Linked DNA regions of Nothobranchius furzeri. The protein of the gene in region 1 binds, or shares a complex with, the protein of each later gene. Links are inferred from orthologs where the notes say so. Each region holds a gene or a part of one and is shown in the gene's direction. Other genes may lie near its edges.

Region 1 (7,290 bases):
TAACGGAGGATTCAAGTTATCTATAGTAAAAAGTAAATTTATGATCTTTGGCTTAAAAAGGAAAATCCCATCTATGAATATTCATATTTATGGCTCTGTGATTGAAAAGGTTTAAGTTTTTGGGTTTGTGGTTTGATGAGAAATTAATCTGGAAAACACATAGAAAGATTAGTAAGCAAATGTGAAAAGGTAATTAATGTCATGAGGAGTTAATCAGGTAGCAGCTGGGGAGCGGAGAGAAGTACTTTACAGTTAATCTATAGGGCTATGATTAGGCCTGTTTTGGATTATGGATGTGTGGTTTTTGGGAAAGCTTCTAAATCTGTGTTGTGTAAATTGGATTATGTGCAGTTTATGGCCCTAAGAATCTGTTGCAGAGCATTTAGATCTACTTCAGTTCCAGCATTGCTGGTTGAAACGGGTGAGTACCCTTTGACAATGAGGAGGGGAAAACTAGGAGTTCATTATTGGCCGGGTTTAGTGGCAGCTTGGCGTATAAATGTCTCATAGATGATTGTCGGGAGTCCAGTGAAGATCAGGATAAGGACAGTTTCCTAAATCATATTGTAAAACTAGTAAATCTCCTAGGACTACAAAAGGAAATGGTGGTGGGGTTAGTGTGGTCTCCAATACCGTTTTGGAAATTACCTGAGCCAGAAGTTGTTTTGGATTTACTAGGATTAGAAAAAGCGGTTGCCATTAAACTGTTAGAAATGTATTTAAGTGTTCAAAGATGCTATCCAAATTTATACTGATGGATCTAAAGAAACTACATTTCATAGAGCTGGTTTTGGGGTTTATATTGTCGAGCTATAAGTTAGGTCAAGTGTTTGTGTGACAGATAAATTATCTGTTTTTTCTGTTGAGCTTTTGGCTATTTTGTAGGCAATGAAGTGGATAGTGGAGCATAAACCATCTCACACTATTGTCTGCTCTGATTCTGCTGCTGCACTGTTGACTCTAAGTAACGGGACATCTGAGGCATGGAATGACTTAGTTTTGGAGATTTTGTGTTGTCTAATGGGCCATTCCCATCTGTACCGGGTCGGCCCGGGCTGGGTTGCGTAGGTTGTTTACATATCTGGGTGGCCTGGTATTTTTCCGGGCTAACCAAGGCTCATTCTCAGCCCTCTTCTCGAGGGGGTCTGCTTCAGGCCGACCAGGGCCAACACACCCACTGCTGACAGCAAATTCACACCTTCCATTAGAGCAAGCCTCTGATTGGTGGGTAGAATCAGCCCACATGGGCTTAAGGCAAGGATGTGTGGAATCAACCGGGCCAGGCTGGGGCCGACCCGGTACAGATGGGAATGGCCCATTAAAGACGCTGAGAATGCGGGTTCTAGGGTGGTATTTGTCTGGGTCCCTGGACATACTGGAATTTTGGGAAATGAAATGGCAGATGCATTGGCCAAAGACTCCATCCTTAGAAATAGCATTGATCATCATCTTCCTCTGGGAAAAAGAGAATGTTAATAGTATGTGCATGCAGTAACTATTTAAAAAATTTGTGGCAGAAAGAATGGGAAGGGGAACGTAGAGGAAGACTTTATTTTCCTTGTCAGCCGTCAGCTCATACTAGTTGGCAACCCTTAACCTGTTGTCGTAGAGATGAAGAGGTGATTGCCAGAATGAGATTGGGGCACTGTGGTCTGGCGGCATGCTTATTTAGGATTGGTAAACATGTAGATGGGTTGTGTGAGTGTGGTAGTTCCAAAACTGTTGTTCATGTATTGTTGTCATAGCCTGGCAAGCCAGACTAAATAAATGTATTATTTAAGATAAGGATTAGCAAACTTTGCAACACAAGGATTTGGTCTAGTTCACTAGGCTATTGTTGTCATGCAGGAAATACAATAGTGAGAAGCGGCAACTTTTTTATGGGGCTGGTGGATTTGGGGATGGAATCTTTTTCCTTTTTTTTTTTCGATTAGTGCAAATTCCCAATGTGTATATAGCTTGATTGTTCAATTCCTTCATCACACTGGCATTTATTCGAGGATATAATGTAGCAGTAATATAACTGTGGTGGGCAGCATTGCACATTCCAGCGTATAGTCTGCTGGAAATTTATTATTATTATTATTATTATTATTATTATTAGAAGAAGAAGAAGAAGAGGAAGAAGAAGAAGAGGAAGAAGAAGAAGAGGAGGAAGAGGAGGAAGAAGAAGAAGGAAGAAGAAGGAAGAAGAAGAAGAAGAAGAAGAAGAAGAAGAAGAAGGAAGAAGAAAGAAGGAAGAAGAAAGAAGGAAGAAGGAAGAAGGAAGAAGAAGAAGAGGAGGAAGAAGAAGAGGAAGGAAGAGGAAGAAAGAAGAAAAAGAAAGAAGGAAGAAGAAGAAGGAAGAAAAAGGAAGAAAGAGGAAGAAGAAAGAAGAAAGAAGGAAGAAGGAAGAAGAAGAAGGAAGAAGAAGAAGAAGAGGAAGAAGAAGAGGAAGGAAGAAGGAAGAAAGAAGAAAAAGAAGAAAAAGAAAGAAGGAAGAAGAAGAAGGAAGAAAAAGGAAGAAAGAAGAAAGAAGGAAGAAGAAGAAGGAAGAAGAAGAAGAAGAGGAGGAAGAAGAAGAGGAGGAAGAAGAAGAGGAGGAAGAAGAAGAGGAAGGAAGAAGGAAGAAAGAAGAAAAAGAAAGAAGAAGAAAAAGAAAGAAGAAGAAGGAAGAAAAAGGAAGAAAGAAGAAGAAGAAGATGGAAGAAGAAAGAAGAGCAGGAAACAGAAAACTAGCAGGATGGTAGCCCTCGAGGACTGGAGTTGGTGTTCACCTGCTCTAGTTTAGATGTTTGTGTTCTACATTTAGAATTAGATACTAATAGAAAGCAGTGCCATGTCTCTCTAAAAGAATATAGAGTTAAACAAATTCTAGTAAATGGCTCTAGTGTTTAAATGTATGGAAATATTCATGTTTTAGATGCCTTTGATTATGTGTACGTTTCACACAATCAGCTTAACTGGAAAATGGCTTTTTCAATGTGTTAATTTCTTTGTGCAGGTGCCAGAATTTCATACTGAGTATGGCGGATCTGGATGACCAGGTTAGAGACTTCTCAACTGTCAAAAACCTGGATGATGGCAGTGATTCTTCAGACAGAAGCTGTAGAAAAGGGCATAAATCAACGCTTCCTCTGGTTAAACCTCTGTCTGTAGGTGAGAGGCACAGCACACTTACATTCTTTTCTTTTACATCTTAGTAATACTAATAAAGAGACTGTGCAGACGTGGAATGTATAAACCTTTTCCAGATCCGCTGATAGGACCTGTGTCATGTACTACGAAGAAGGATTAGTGGCTTATCGAGGTGACTTTAGGTTGTAGTTTGGTTAATTTCTAACTGATGCTGGTACAGGTTAGGTTACCAGATAAGAAACCACATATTGGTGTACCGCCTCAACCAATCCATTCTCAAAAAACAAACAAACAAACAAAAAAAAAAAAAGCAATCGGTTTGTAAAAAGGTGCTGCAATGGCAGCTTTAAACACACCTGGAGAACTAAGGGGTTGCTCTTCAGAATAAGATCATCAACTGACATTATATTCGTATACACTTGAACAAAGTTTTATGTTCTTTTATTTGTATATTTTAAGGAATAACTTCAGACGCATGTATTTCATCACCAGTAAACCATCCGTCCATTTTCAGCCACTTATCCAGAGGCCCAGACTTCCCTCTCCCCAGCCACTCGGGCCAGCTACTCCGGGGGACTCCTAAGGTGTTCCTTGGACAGCTGTGAGACAGTCTCTCAAGCGTGTCCTGGGTCTTTCTTTAGGTCTTCTCCCAGTTGGACGTGCCTGGAAAACCTCACCAGGAAAGCATCCAGGAGGCATCCTAACTAGATGTCTGAGCCACCTCAACTGGCTCCTCTTGATGTGGAGGAGCAGCGGGCTCACTCCAAGCCCCTCCCAGATGGTCGAGCTTCTCACCCTTTCTATAAGGGAGAGTCCAGACACCCTGCAGAGAAAACTCATTTCGGCCGCTTGTATCCACAATCTCATTCTTTCAGTCACTACCCAAAGCTCGTGACCATAGGTGAGGGTAGATTGACCGGTGAATCATTGGCTCAGCTCTCTCTTCACCACGACAGATCGGTATAAAGCCCACATCACTGCAGATGCAGACCAATCCGCCTGTCGATCCCGTGTTCCATCTTTCCCTCACTTGTGAAGGAGACCCCGAGATACTTGAACTCCTCCACTTGGATCAGGACCTCATCCCTGACTCAAAGTAAACTTTGTCCTAAAGTCAAAAATTTGTATAACTTAAATTTTCCGATTAGTGATGTCTAAAAATGTCAAAATTACTATATTTTAATGAGTACAGTCACCAGTTTATGTTAGCAAGTTGCAGAGTTGCACTGTTGGGAATTACTCTTAAATTTATTACACTAGAATCAAAATGGACTTACATTAAAATGCAAAACCAGGCTTATTTATGATGAGAATGAAATTTTTTTTGTAACCTTCAAACATCAGTTAAATAAACTCCCAAAGCAAACAGATGAGCTTGCTTTAAAAGTGGAGAAGAGCTGCAGTAAGTGTGAGTATTTTTATATTTAAAGAGCATAAATGCCTGGAAAGGGTTTTAGTGGTCAAATAATATGAATGTTTTCAGAGATGGACAAAGAAACTGGGTTCAGACGAAGTGTTCAGATGTGTTTGGAGCACATCAGAGAAGCCATGCTGCGTCATAGATGGCAAGAGGCAGCGGACTACATGGCGTCCTACCCTCAAATCCTAGAGGACCGGAACGGAGCCACAGCTGTGCTGTATAAAGAGGTGACTTAACTTTGTTTTATTATATTTGTTTTGAACCAACATTCACACTGAAGTTTTTATATACAAAATCCTCATAAAATATTTGACCACATTTAGCTTTTTAATTCTTTATTTTGTTGATCTTTACTCCAGGTTGTTTGGAGAATCTGCACCGAGATCCTTCACCATCATCCCAGAGCAACGATGGAAAGTTGCAACATCACCTATGAACGGATGAAACACTCTGGGGTTAAACTTTACCTGACGGTATGCTGGCCGACATACTTGATGCAATGCACTTTATTTAGCTTTTTTATGAAAACACCGTTTTGTCTGTGCGTTTAGATTTGCCTGGAGCATTGCTTCCACCTGCTGCTGAATGGTCAGATGGAAGAGGCAAAGCAGCAGCTATCAGTCGCCGAAAGCTGGCGATATGGGAAGGAGTCGGCCACTCAGCATCACAAGGTTCAACTGATCCAGGCCTACAGGAGCTTGTTGGATTATATAATCTGGTGTGACAAAAGGCGCACACGCTCTAAAAATAGTAAGAAGCGGCATCCTTTATGCCTGTTTGACTTGTTTGATTTGTGGTCCTATACTGCCCTCTAACGGTTAAATAAAGTAACTGCATGTGCAGCAGACAAGCTGCAGAGCTGGCTGTAAAAAAATTATTTCTTTTTTTTTTTTTTCAGATCCATTTGACTCTGATCACCAAGACTTGCATAACTATTTCAGACAAGCTTCTGTGCATCTACAAGAGATTTTGAAAAGTCCAGGAGTCTGGGATCCGTTCATTCTGAGTTATGTCGAGGTAAACGCTCATCTGTCGCAGGCGTTGTAAAACAGCACGATTGGATTGATTAAAATGCAACTGCAGTGTGTTTTAAAGTTTCATTTAGAAGGCGGCCAGAGCTAAATGATGCTAGCTGACACAAAAATAGCGACGTGCATTTTACAGATGTTAAGCTAAAATTTGTTGGTAGTCGAGTCATTCACATCAGAGCCCTAACAGATCGCATGAGTTTGAGTTTGATCTTGTTGCACCTCCTTAAGTGTTGGAGATGCTAATAAGGAGCTTTTGGCCCAGTGTTCTAACGGAGCAGCGTCCAACTATGTCATGTTATGTTCGAGGAGCTGTGAGTCAAGCATACAAACGACAAAGTACAAGGAAAATGTTTATCGACTGTGTTCATAATTTTTTACCACAAAAATGAACTGATGATTGTGTATCACACTTTTATTTTACTACCTTCTAATTCTAAACATTTAGAAAATAAAGCTTTAAAATTTATCAAATGGACAAGTCAAGGGATCGTACGGTCGTTTTAAACAAGTATGATTATCTGATGGACAAAGTGGCCTATCACATTGTCATATAGCTTAAATGTATGATCTGACAGACATGTGCTGTCAGGCGTATGCTGTAACACGCGTATGCTAATCTTGACAACGTATGGTGATTGGACAGAACACCATTTCACGCCAGTTTCTTTCCCAATTCTCCTCCTGACCATCTCAAGGATCTGCCTGATTATTGTAACAGATTTAAAGATAGTTTTATCAGATATTCCTGCCGTGTGTGGTGTGTTAATAGCTCTCTGGTCTGCTCGGAAGGACTGCAGGACTGCTCCCGATCACAAATCGGGATATTAAACGTGATGGAATGTCTTGGTCAGACATTCTGCCGGTTGGATGTGACGTGTAGCCAGTCTGAAATTGTGATCTCGATTGGTCTGAGCTAATCTTGAAATATTTGACGATTTTCTCATCTGTAGTGTAGATTTTGCCGTGTAGCCAAGCGCCAAACACTAAAACTGGTAAATGTGATTTATTTATTTTTTTTAATGCCACACGTGGGAGTCTCTTATTTTGAAAATCATCCAACTTTGGCAGTGTGAGTGTCCTGTCACAATGTCCCGCTTGATGATGCGCACTGGCTACTTGGCCAAGGGGATGTCCCTTTGGCTGACTGGTTAGAGCGTATGACTCTCACCTGGGAGTCTGGGGATCGAATCCCGCCCGGGCCCTCGTTTCTCCAGCTTGCCACACTACCAGGACCATATCGAAGCACTTACCAACTTCTGCAGTCTTTAAGTTGTTGTAATGGTACTTTGTTTTTTCAGACACATCTTTTCTGTTATGCTGACCGTTAATCCCATCGTTCGACCGTCCCTGCCTCTTGTCTCACTGTATTTTGGCAGATGTTGGAGTTTTACGGGGATCACGTGGAGGCTCTTAACGTCTTGAACAACTACGCGTTAAACAAACGTTTTCCACCCAATCCAAACGCACACGTGTTTCTGTATCAGTTCCTGAAGAGGCACAACACTCCTGAGAAGAAGCTGATCAAAGTGTTAAAGGTAAAACAGCCCATGAAACTTATATTTTACAGATGATTATATCTCATATATTCCTAAGTATTAGCACTGATATTTAAGGACACATCTGCTTGCAAAACTTCCAAAATAACCTGTTTCCTGTTGTAGAATCTCCATGTTTTAGTCCCGAGCCACGAGTTGATGCTGGAGTACAGCTACTTCCTGCTTC
Region 2 (7,290 bases), on another chromosome or scaffold:
GTGTTGGGGAGCTGCATTTCATTGATGCTATCATGAACTCAACAATTTACCACTCAATACCAAATGAGAAGATGCTGCCATCACTCCACGCACGTGGTCATCGTGCACTTTTCCAACACGGCAATGATCCAAAACACACATCTAAAGCTACTGTTGCGTTCCTGAAGAACAGCAGGGTGAAGGTGATTGAATGGCCAAGTATGTCTCCTGATCTGAACCCAATCCAACACCGGTGGGGAATTCTGAAGCAGCAAGTTGGGCATCACTCTCCATCCAGCATCCAGGCTCTAAAAGAGGTTCTTCTTGAAGAATTGAAAGGATAGATGTTGCAATAAGTAGTCAACTTGTTAATTCCATACCTAGAAGGCTTGGTGCTGTCCTTGAAAATCACAGTGGTCATACAAAATACTAGATGTAGTAGGTTTTGTTGTGGGGTGTATTCATTTTTGCTTCAACCAATGTTAGTAAAACTGAAGATTTTGTGATCTCAGTTATATTGTTAACCTTAATTTCATGTTATGGAGTTAAACAAGCCTTGTGAAATTTCTGGAAATTGTTCTTTTGTTCATTGAGCTGCTGACTAAATTTATACATTTTCAAGGTGTATTCATTTATGCTGAGCTCTGTACACGTGTTTCCTCTTTTGCTTTTGCAGAACTTCAGAATTGACATAGTGCATCTGGACGAAAGCAGTATGGAGTTTGACATGGTAGGGATTGATGCGTCCATTGCCAACGCCTTCAGAAGAATCTTACTAGCAGAGGTAACACCCACACATTTCCTGCAGTTTAGCTCAAAAAGCGTTACTTCCAGTCCGGTCCCTCTGTGTTTCTCGGGCTGTGTTAGCTCTTCCCCCCTCCCCCGGTGTTACGTCAGCATTCCAGTCGGTTCCGCTGTTGAAACGCGTTTCCCCACCACTGCACCACGTTTACCAAGCGGTAAAAACACTCGCGCTCATTACAATCTCGCTCCCGCGGGGCGCTCTGGTTTTGGTAGAATAGGAGCCACAGATCTAAGTTAGGGAAATTCCCGGTGGCCCTTTTTGAGTTTGGTGCATTATTATTTTTATATTTTTTTTCATTTATTTTATTATTTTTTTTTCGGGCCGTTGTTACTCTGTAGATCACCTGCTGCTGATGAGAGGATTTCTCCTGTCAGGAACAGGTGAGCTGCTGCTAACCGTAACCCAACAAGCTTCTGTTCCTAGAAACACGTTCTATGCCCAGACTCTAATGACCTGTTTTTTTACAACTTTATAATTAATATTAAGTGAATGCATTAAATCCACAGGTGGAAAATACGATTAAATAAGCCTGAATATTTTCTCCCACAGCTCAGCTCTATTAGAAATAAGCAGATGTCTGCTTCAGCTGGACAATATCAAGTATAAAAACGTTCACAGATAACTGATCTATAATGACGAAACAATGTTAATCATTTTAAATTTTAATATTGATTTCATTTCATTTCTAAGGTTTGGATGTTTGTGGACATCACTGAATTTTCTGATTGGTGTAAAGAATACACAATATTTTTAATAACAGGTCTGGATGTGGTTCAGTCTGAGGTCTAAAACTGCCCTGGGCCTAAAGCCCTGCAGATAGATTTAGTTTCTATAAACATAAACGACAAATAAACAACAGCAGCTGGATTCTACTTTGTTCCTTACATTGAGTCACATAGTTTTGCAACTTCTGTATGCTCACGTGTTCAACAGCAGCTCTGCCAGCTGATTGGTTCTTTAGTAACTAGTGACATCAGTGCAGTTCTGGTACTGAGCAGCATGGATGCATAAGAGGATTTAGCTGTAGTCGGTGTTCAAAATGGATTAAAGACAGGATAGGATATAAACGCAATCAAATATAATATTATAATGCTGTAAACATGTGTAGATACTTTATCATACATCCTCACCAGCCTGTAACTCTACCTTTTTTCTCAAAATGCACCAGACTGATGCTTTTAAAAATAAAATGCTCAAAATTTTCTACCAGGGGTGGTGGTGGTGAGGGGGGGGGGGGGGGTGGCATGCCCCCGGACCCCCCTAGAGTAGTTTAATACTCATCATCTTTTTCGTGTCCACACTCTGGTGCTGGTGCACACCTTGTGGTGGAATAAGAACTGGATATATATATATATGGTGTCCCACAAGGTTCTGTGCTGGGGCCTCTGCTCTTCCTCCTCTATCTGCTTCCTCTTCAGCACATCCTGAGCTTCTTCAAAGGAATCTCCTACCATCTTTATGCAGGTGACATCCAACTGTACATCTCCTTTAAGCCCCATGAGATGTCTCAGCTGCAGCTGTTACACACCTGCTTAGACTCTATCAAAACCTGGATGGCTGGGAGCTTTCTACAGCTGAATGAAGATAAGACTGAGATCCTCATCTGTGCCCCAGACAAGCTGGTTCTCAAAGTCAGGGGCTCTCTTGGTCAGCTTGCATCTCACACCAAACCTTCTGTCAGGGATCTTTGTGTGACCTTTGACCCAGCTCTCAGCCTGGATTCTCATGTCAGTTCTCTTGTTCGCTCTAACTTCTTCAATCTCAGGAACATCGCTAAGCTGAGTTCCATTCTGTCCCGTTCTGAACTTGAGGCTTCTCCACAACTTCATCTCCTCACGCTTAGTTTACTGCAACTCTCTTTTCACGTGTCTGAGCAGAACTTCCCTGAACCGTTTACAGGTGGTTCAGAAGCTTAGAGACGGAGCAACATGTCGCTAGCATAGCGGCTAATCGCTAGCATAGCAGTTTTACCAGTTATATTGATATAAAGATATAAAGTCATCTTGTATCTTGTTTAAAAATTATATAGATATTTTAAAAATATCAATTTATTGCCCAGCCCTAATATATATATGTATGCGCACCCATCCATCCCCCCCCCCCCCCCCCCAACAGCCAATGCACAGCACCAAAAACGTTACACCCCACCCCCCGTGAACCACGGCTGGAAAATTTTCTAGGGGAAACACTGATAACAATTTTCTTAGCCAGTGTGCAGACCCATTCAAATCTCTGGTGATGACGGAGTTTCTGCTGGGTCAGGTCCATTATTTATGTCTCTTTCTAATGTTCACATTATGGGATTCATAGTAGCAGTGAATTAAGGCTGGACTCATTCTCAGGAGAAAGAATCCAACATTTTTATAGCTGGACTCAACATTTTCTCCCTGATGCGATTAGGCAGTTAGACCTTTATAGGCAAAAATGTCTCATTGTATGTTTTTTGTTAATCTTTTTTATGCTTTGCTTTTATTTTGCCTGCAGGTGCCCACAATGGCTGTTGAGAAGGTGTTCATCTATAACAATACATCAATTGTCCAGGATGAAGTCCTTGCTCACAGATTAGGCCTGATTCCCATTAAAGCAGATCCTCGTCTGTTCGAGTTCAAGAATGCAGGTACAACAGTCAAATGCGCTCCCTCAGCTGCTTCTTACCCAATGCTGGGTAGGGAAGTGCCCATGGTTTTTACTACGCCCAATAATAACCTGTATTACATGACGAGCGGTGACGCCGTCATCTTGGATCGGTCCCCCCCTCCTTTCTGACAGAGGCATTGAAGTGTCAGCATGTTTAATCAACCATAACTCCTTCGATAGTAAGCTGATTTTGAAACATTTTTATTTTCTTTGCAAACTTCGCACATGCAGCTCTGATACAGGACACATGTTTTAGCATAGTGGGTTTGCTTGGGTACATATGTGACTCTTGTTCAGAACTTAGGTGTGGAACTTAGGCTGAGCGGGTGTTCCAGTAATCGGAAGGTTGCAGGTTCGATACCGGCTCCGGACAGATAATTCTGCTGTTGTGTCCTTGGGCAAGACACACCTTGCCCTCTGGTGGTGGTCAGAGGGACCGGTGGCAGCCTTGCCTCCGTCAGTGCGCCCCAGAGCAGCTGTGGCTACATTGTAGCTCATCACCATCAGTGTGCGATTGAGTGTGTGAATGGATGAATCTGTAGTGTAAAGCGCTTTGGAGTCCTTACTCTGAGAGGTGCTATAAGATAAGATAAGATAAGATAAGATGACCTTTATTAGTCCCACAAGTGGGAAATTTGTTTCGTTTACAGCCAAGCAAAGTAAAAGTAAAAGTTATGCTGCAGAGGGAGAAAAACATTAAAATACAATAAGACCGACCGCAATGAGATAAAATAAACTCAATACAATAGACAGTTTATACCTTAAGAATGGGTTAAAAAATAATAAATAATAACCATACTAGATACAGCTAGAAATACAGAGTACACTTCATCCAACAGCTTTGTTGTAGAGTCTGACAGCAGTAGGGAGGAAAGACCTACGGAATCTCTCTGTCCCACACCTTGGGTGCCGCAGTCTCCCACTAAAGGAGCTGCTCATGGCTGTCAAAGTCACCTGCATCAAGTGTGGGTCATTCATCATTTATCATTTAGTTTCAAAATAAGGATCAGTCACTAAAAATCAAACAATGAGAGTCAAAATAATTAAAGTATCATACAAAATGTGTGTGAGATCTATGGCAGGTATTTTTAAAAATATGAAAGAGAAGCAGAAAGCACTACTCAGCCATTTTAATTAACAATTTAAAGTATATATTACTTGTCGATAAAAACTGAAATAAATGGGTGTTTGTGTAACTCATTTACAAATAGTGTCAATATCATTCAAAGAGGTGCGAGAGAATAAGAATCAGAAGGGTTTTATTGCCACATGTGTGAGAATAGCATTAGGAAATTGCTGCGGTTCGTGGTGCAAGAAAAATAAATGATAAGCAAAAATTAGAATAAAGAAACAAAACCAATTAATTCATAATAATACAGGGAGACAATAATTAAGAATGCATACTTTTCCATAGTCACTTCATTTTTAAGCCCTTTTATGGATATTTTAGAGATGAGATTTCAACCATGATGAACTGCTCTCAGACGCGGGGTTTTCCTGCCGCCTTTAAAGGGGCGCTGGTCAGACCCCTGTTGAAGAAGAGAAACTTCAGACCGATATCTGACTTACCATTTGTAAGGAACATTTTTTGAAAAGCTTGTTTTAATTCAGCCTGGTGATTTTGTTAATGCACATCATGTCTTGAGAAATTTCAGTCTGGTTTTAGAGTAAAGCACAGCACCGAGACGGCCCTTTTAAGAGTTTTAAATGGTCTAAGAATAAATTATGATGCACAGAAAGTAACTGTTCTGGTTCTACTGGATTTAAATGCTGCCTTTGATACAGTGGACCACAATATTCTTTATATAAAACACAATATTAAAACACATCGGCCTGTCTGGTGCTGTCCATAAATGGTTTACTTCTTATCTCACACAGGAGTTTTGTGCTAAGTTTAGACCTTTTTATTATAGCTTTTAGCTGAGTTTAATCTATTTTAGCCTGTTTAACCATCTTTTATATATTTTATCAGTGTTTTATTACTTTCTCTTTTACTTAAATTACTTATATTTTCATATTATTTTTAACTTGTTTTAACCTGTATTCATTATTTGCATTTCATTATGTTTATATACTTAATTGTTGCTTTCTACTTGGTTATTTTTTATCAGTGTGTTTTAATTAGACTTTTATTTATCTGGTGTTAATGCTTAATTTGGTTTTTAATTTGTTATCTTAATCTTAATCTCAAATCAACCACTTCCCTGGGAGAGGCAGTCGGCTGTGGCTGCCAGGGTGCTTCTCGTGCCTCCTCTTGGTGCCCGAGCTGCTGCTGCCGGTGCAGTTGGCTCCTTTTCCGTTTCTTTGTTGCCTATTGCATCTGTACTCAGCCAGTTGTCCTTTCACTTTTCACTGGGCGACGGTGGCACAGGAGTTAAGTGCTCGCCTCGCAATCAGAAGGTCGCAGGTTCGAAACCCGCTCAGTCTGTCGCTGTCGTTGTGTCCTTGGGCAAGACACTTAACCCACGTTGCCTGCTGGTGGTGGTCGGAGGGACCGGTGGCGCCAGTGCTCGGCAGCCTCGCCTCTGTCAGTGCGCCCCAGGGCAGCTGTGGCTACATCGTAGCTCATCCCCACCAGTGTGTGAATGGGTGAATGACTGATTGTGTTGTAAAGCGCCTTGGGGGGTTCCAGGACTCTAGAAGGCGCTATATCAAATACAGGCCATTTACCATTACCATTTACTTTAGCTTTTGTGTGTGCGTGTGTGTGCGTGCGTGCGTGCGTGTGTGTGTGTGTGTGTGAGGGGTGGGAAATTGACTGTTTTTCATATTGAACAGCGCTTCGAGTTGCACTCATTGCATGAAAAGTGCTTCATGAATAAAATTAGATTTGATGAAAGGATATGTACACGTATGCTGATGACTTCATGATACACTTACTGTTTGAAGGAAAACCAGGAAGCTGAAGAGTAAACTCCTTCTCTGGGTCTCCCAGTCTGACACAGCCCAGACAGATCCTAATAAATCAGCTGGAAAAAGTCCTCTTCAGCTTGTTGGCTAATGGCGCTTACACATTAGCGTCGGCGCAGTTGGAGTTTGGCGGGGCTGGATGGCGTGAGTTCGGTCTCGAACGGGTGGTCGTGTAGTGTTCACATATAAATCAGAGGGACTTCTCAAGAATGCGGAAATCTCCAAGCCTGTGGGCAGAGTTTAGTACGCGTGAGAAAGTCTGCTCCATAAGTTAAAGAAAAGGCGAACATGAGCTGTGTTGCTTTTGGAGACTGTGAACTACATTATTTTATTAATTTGCTGTGTGTGTCCTCGTCATCTTGTCCCAGAAACCAGCTGGCCCGCTGAGCTGAGAGAGAGACGCCTGTCATCTGGTTCTGCAGCTCATGGGTACTTCTGTGATCTGGAACCGACGTAAAACCTGCTCGACTGGCCCGCTTAGCCGCGCGTCTCTTCTGGTGGTCGGTTCTGACGGTGATCTGAGCTCCAGAAATCCGCATTTTTAAACTGCCACGAGTATCTGGAGGCCAGAATGGACCTCCCTGACCCGGTACCGACCGATGTGGGCTACAGAAGTCCGTCTTTTCAGCTGCACAAAACGCCCTCAGGCACGGAGATAGAGGCATTGTTTCTCTTATCTGGAAACACGTGGGCTTAATGTCCAGACAGGCTGGAGTTGGTACAGACTTCACACACTATAGTTTATCCACATGAACACAATCCAACACTAGTAAACACACACTGACTGGATAACATGACCTCGCTGCCCTAAAACTACCCACTCTCCACACTGAGCTGAGGCAGCCTAGCTTCTAACTCCCTTTGGTTACGTCAGAAGTTCAGATTTAGAAAAAAATAGCTTTTTTAGACGCTTTATTGAGAAAGGCCACTTTTTAACTAGAAAACTCTGTTATGTATTT

Evidence for each region. Proteins that work in one complex are often made in the same cells at the same time.
Region 2: taf1a (region 1) and polr1c share a complex: the UniProt entries of both Homo sapiens proteins name them as parts of the pol I pre-initiation complex. The link is inferred for Nothobranchius furzeri from reciprocal best matches to the Homo sapiens genes TAF1A and POLR1C.

Annotation. Positions count from the first base shown.
Region 1 is NC_091742.1:8,329,757-8,337,046, reverse strand, and holds part of taf1a (TATA box-binding protein-associated factor RNA polymerase I subunit A), read left to right. Parts: exon of another isoform or gene 1-32; intron 33-2,104; 5' UTR 2,105-2,681; coding exon 2,682-2,725; intron 2,726-2,983; coding exon 2,984-3,138; intron 3,139-4,600; coding exon 4,601-4,764; intron 4,765-4,896; coding exon 4,897-5,010; intron 5,011-5,088; coding exon 5,089-5,287; intron 5,288-5,435; coding exon 5,436-5,554; intron 5,555-6,944; coding exon 6,945-7,103; intron 7,104-7,229; coding exon 7,230-7,290. UniProt on the Homo sapiens protein: Component of the transcription factor SL1/TIF-IB complex, which is involved in the assembly of the PIC (pre-initiation complex) during RNA polymerase I-dependent transcription.
Region 2 is NC_091752.1:59,333,044-59,340,333, forward strand, and holds part of polr1c (DNA-directed RNA polymerases I and III subunit RPAC1), read left to right. Parts: intron 1-655; coding exon 656-763; intron 764-3,268; coding exon 3,269-3,401; intron 3,402-7,290. UniProt on the Homo sapiens protein: DNA-dependent RNA polymerase catalyzes the transcription of DNA into RNA using the four ribonucleoside triphosphates as substrates.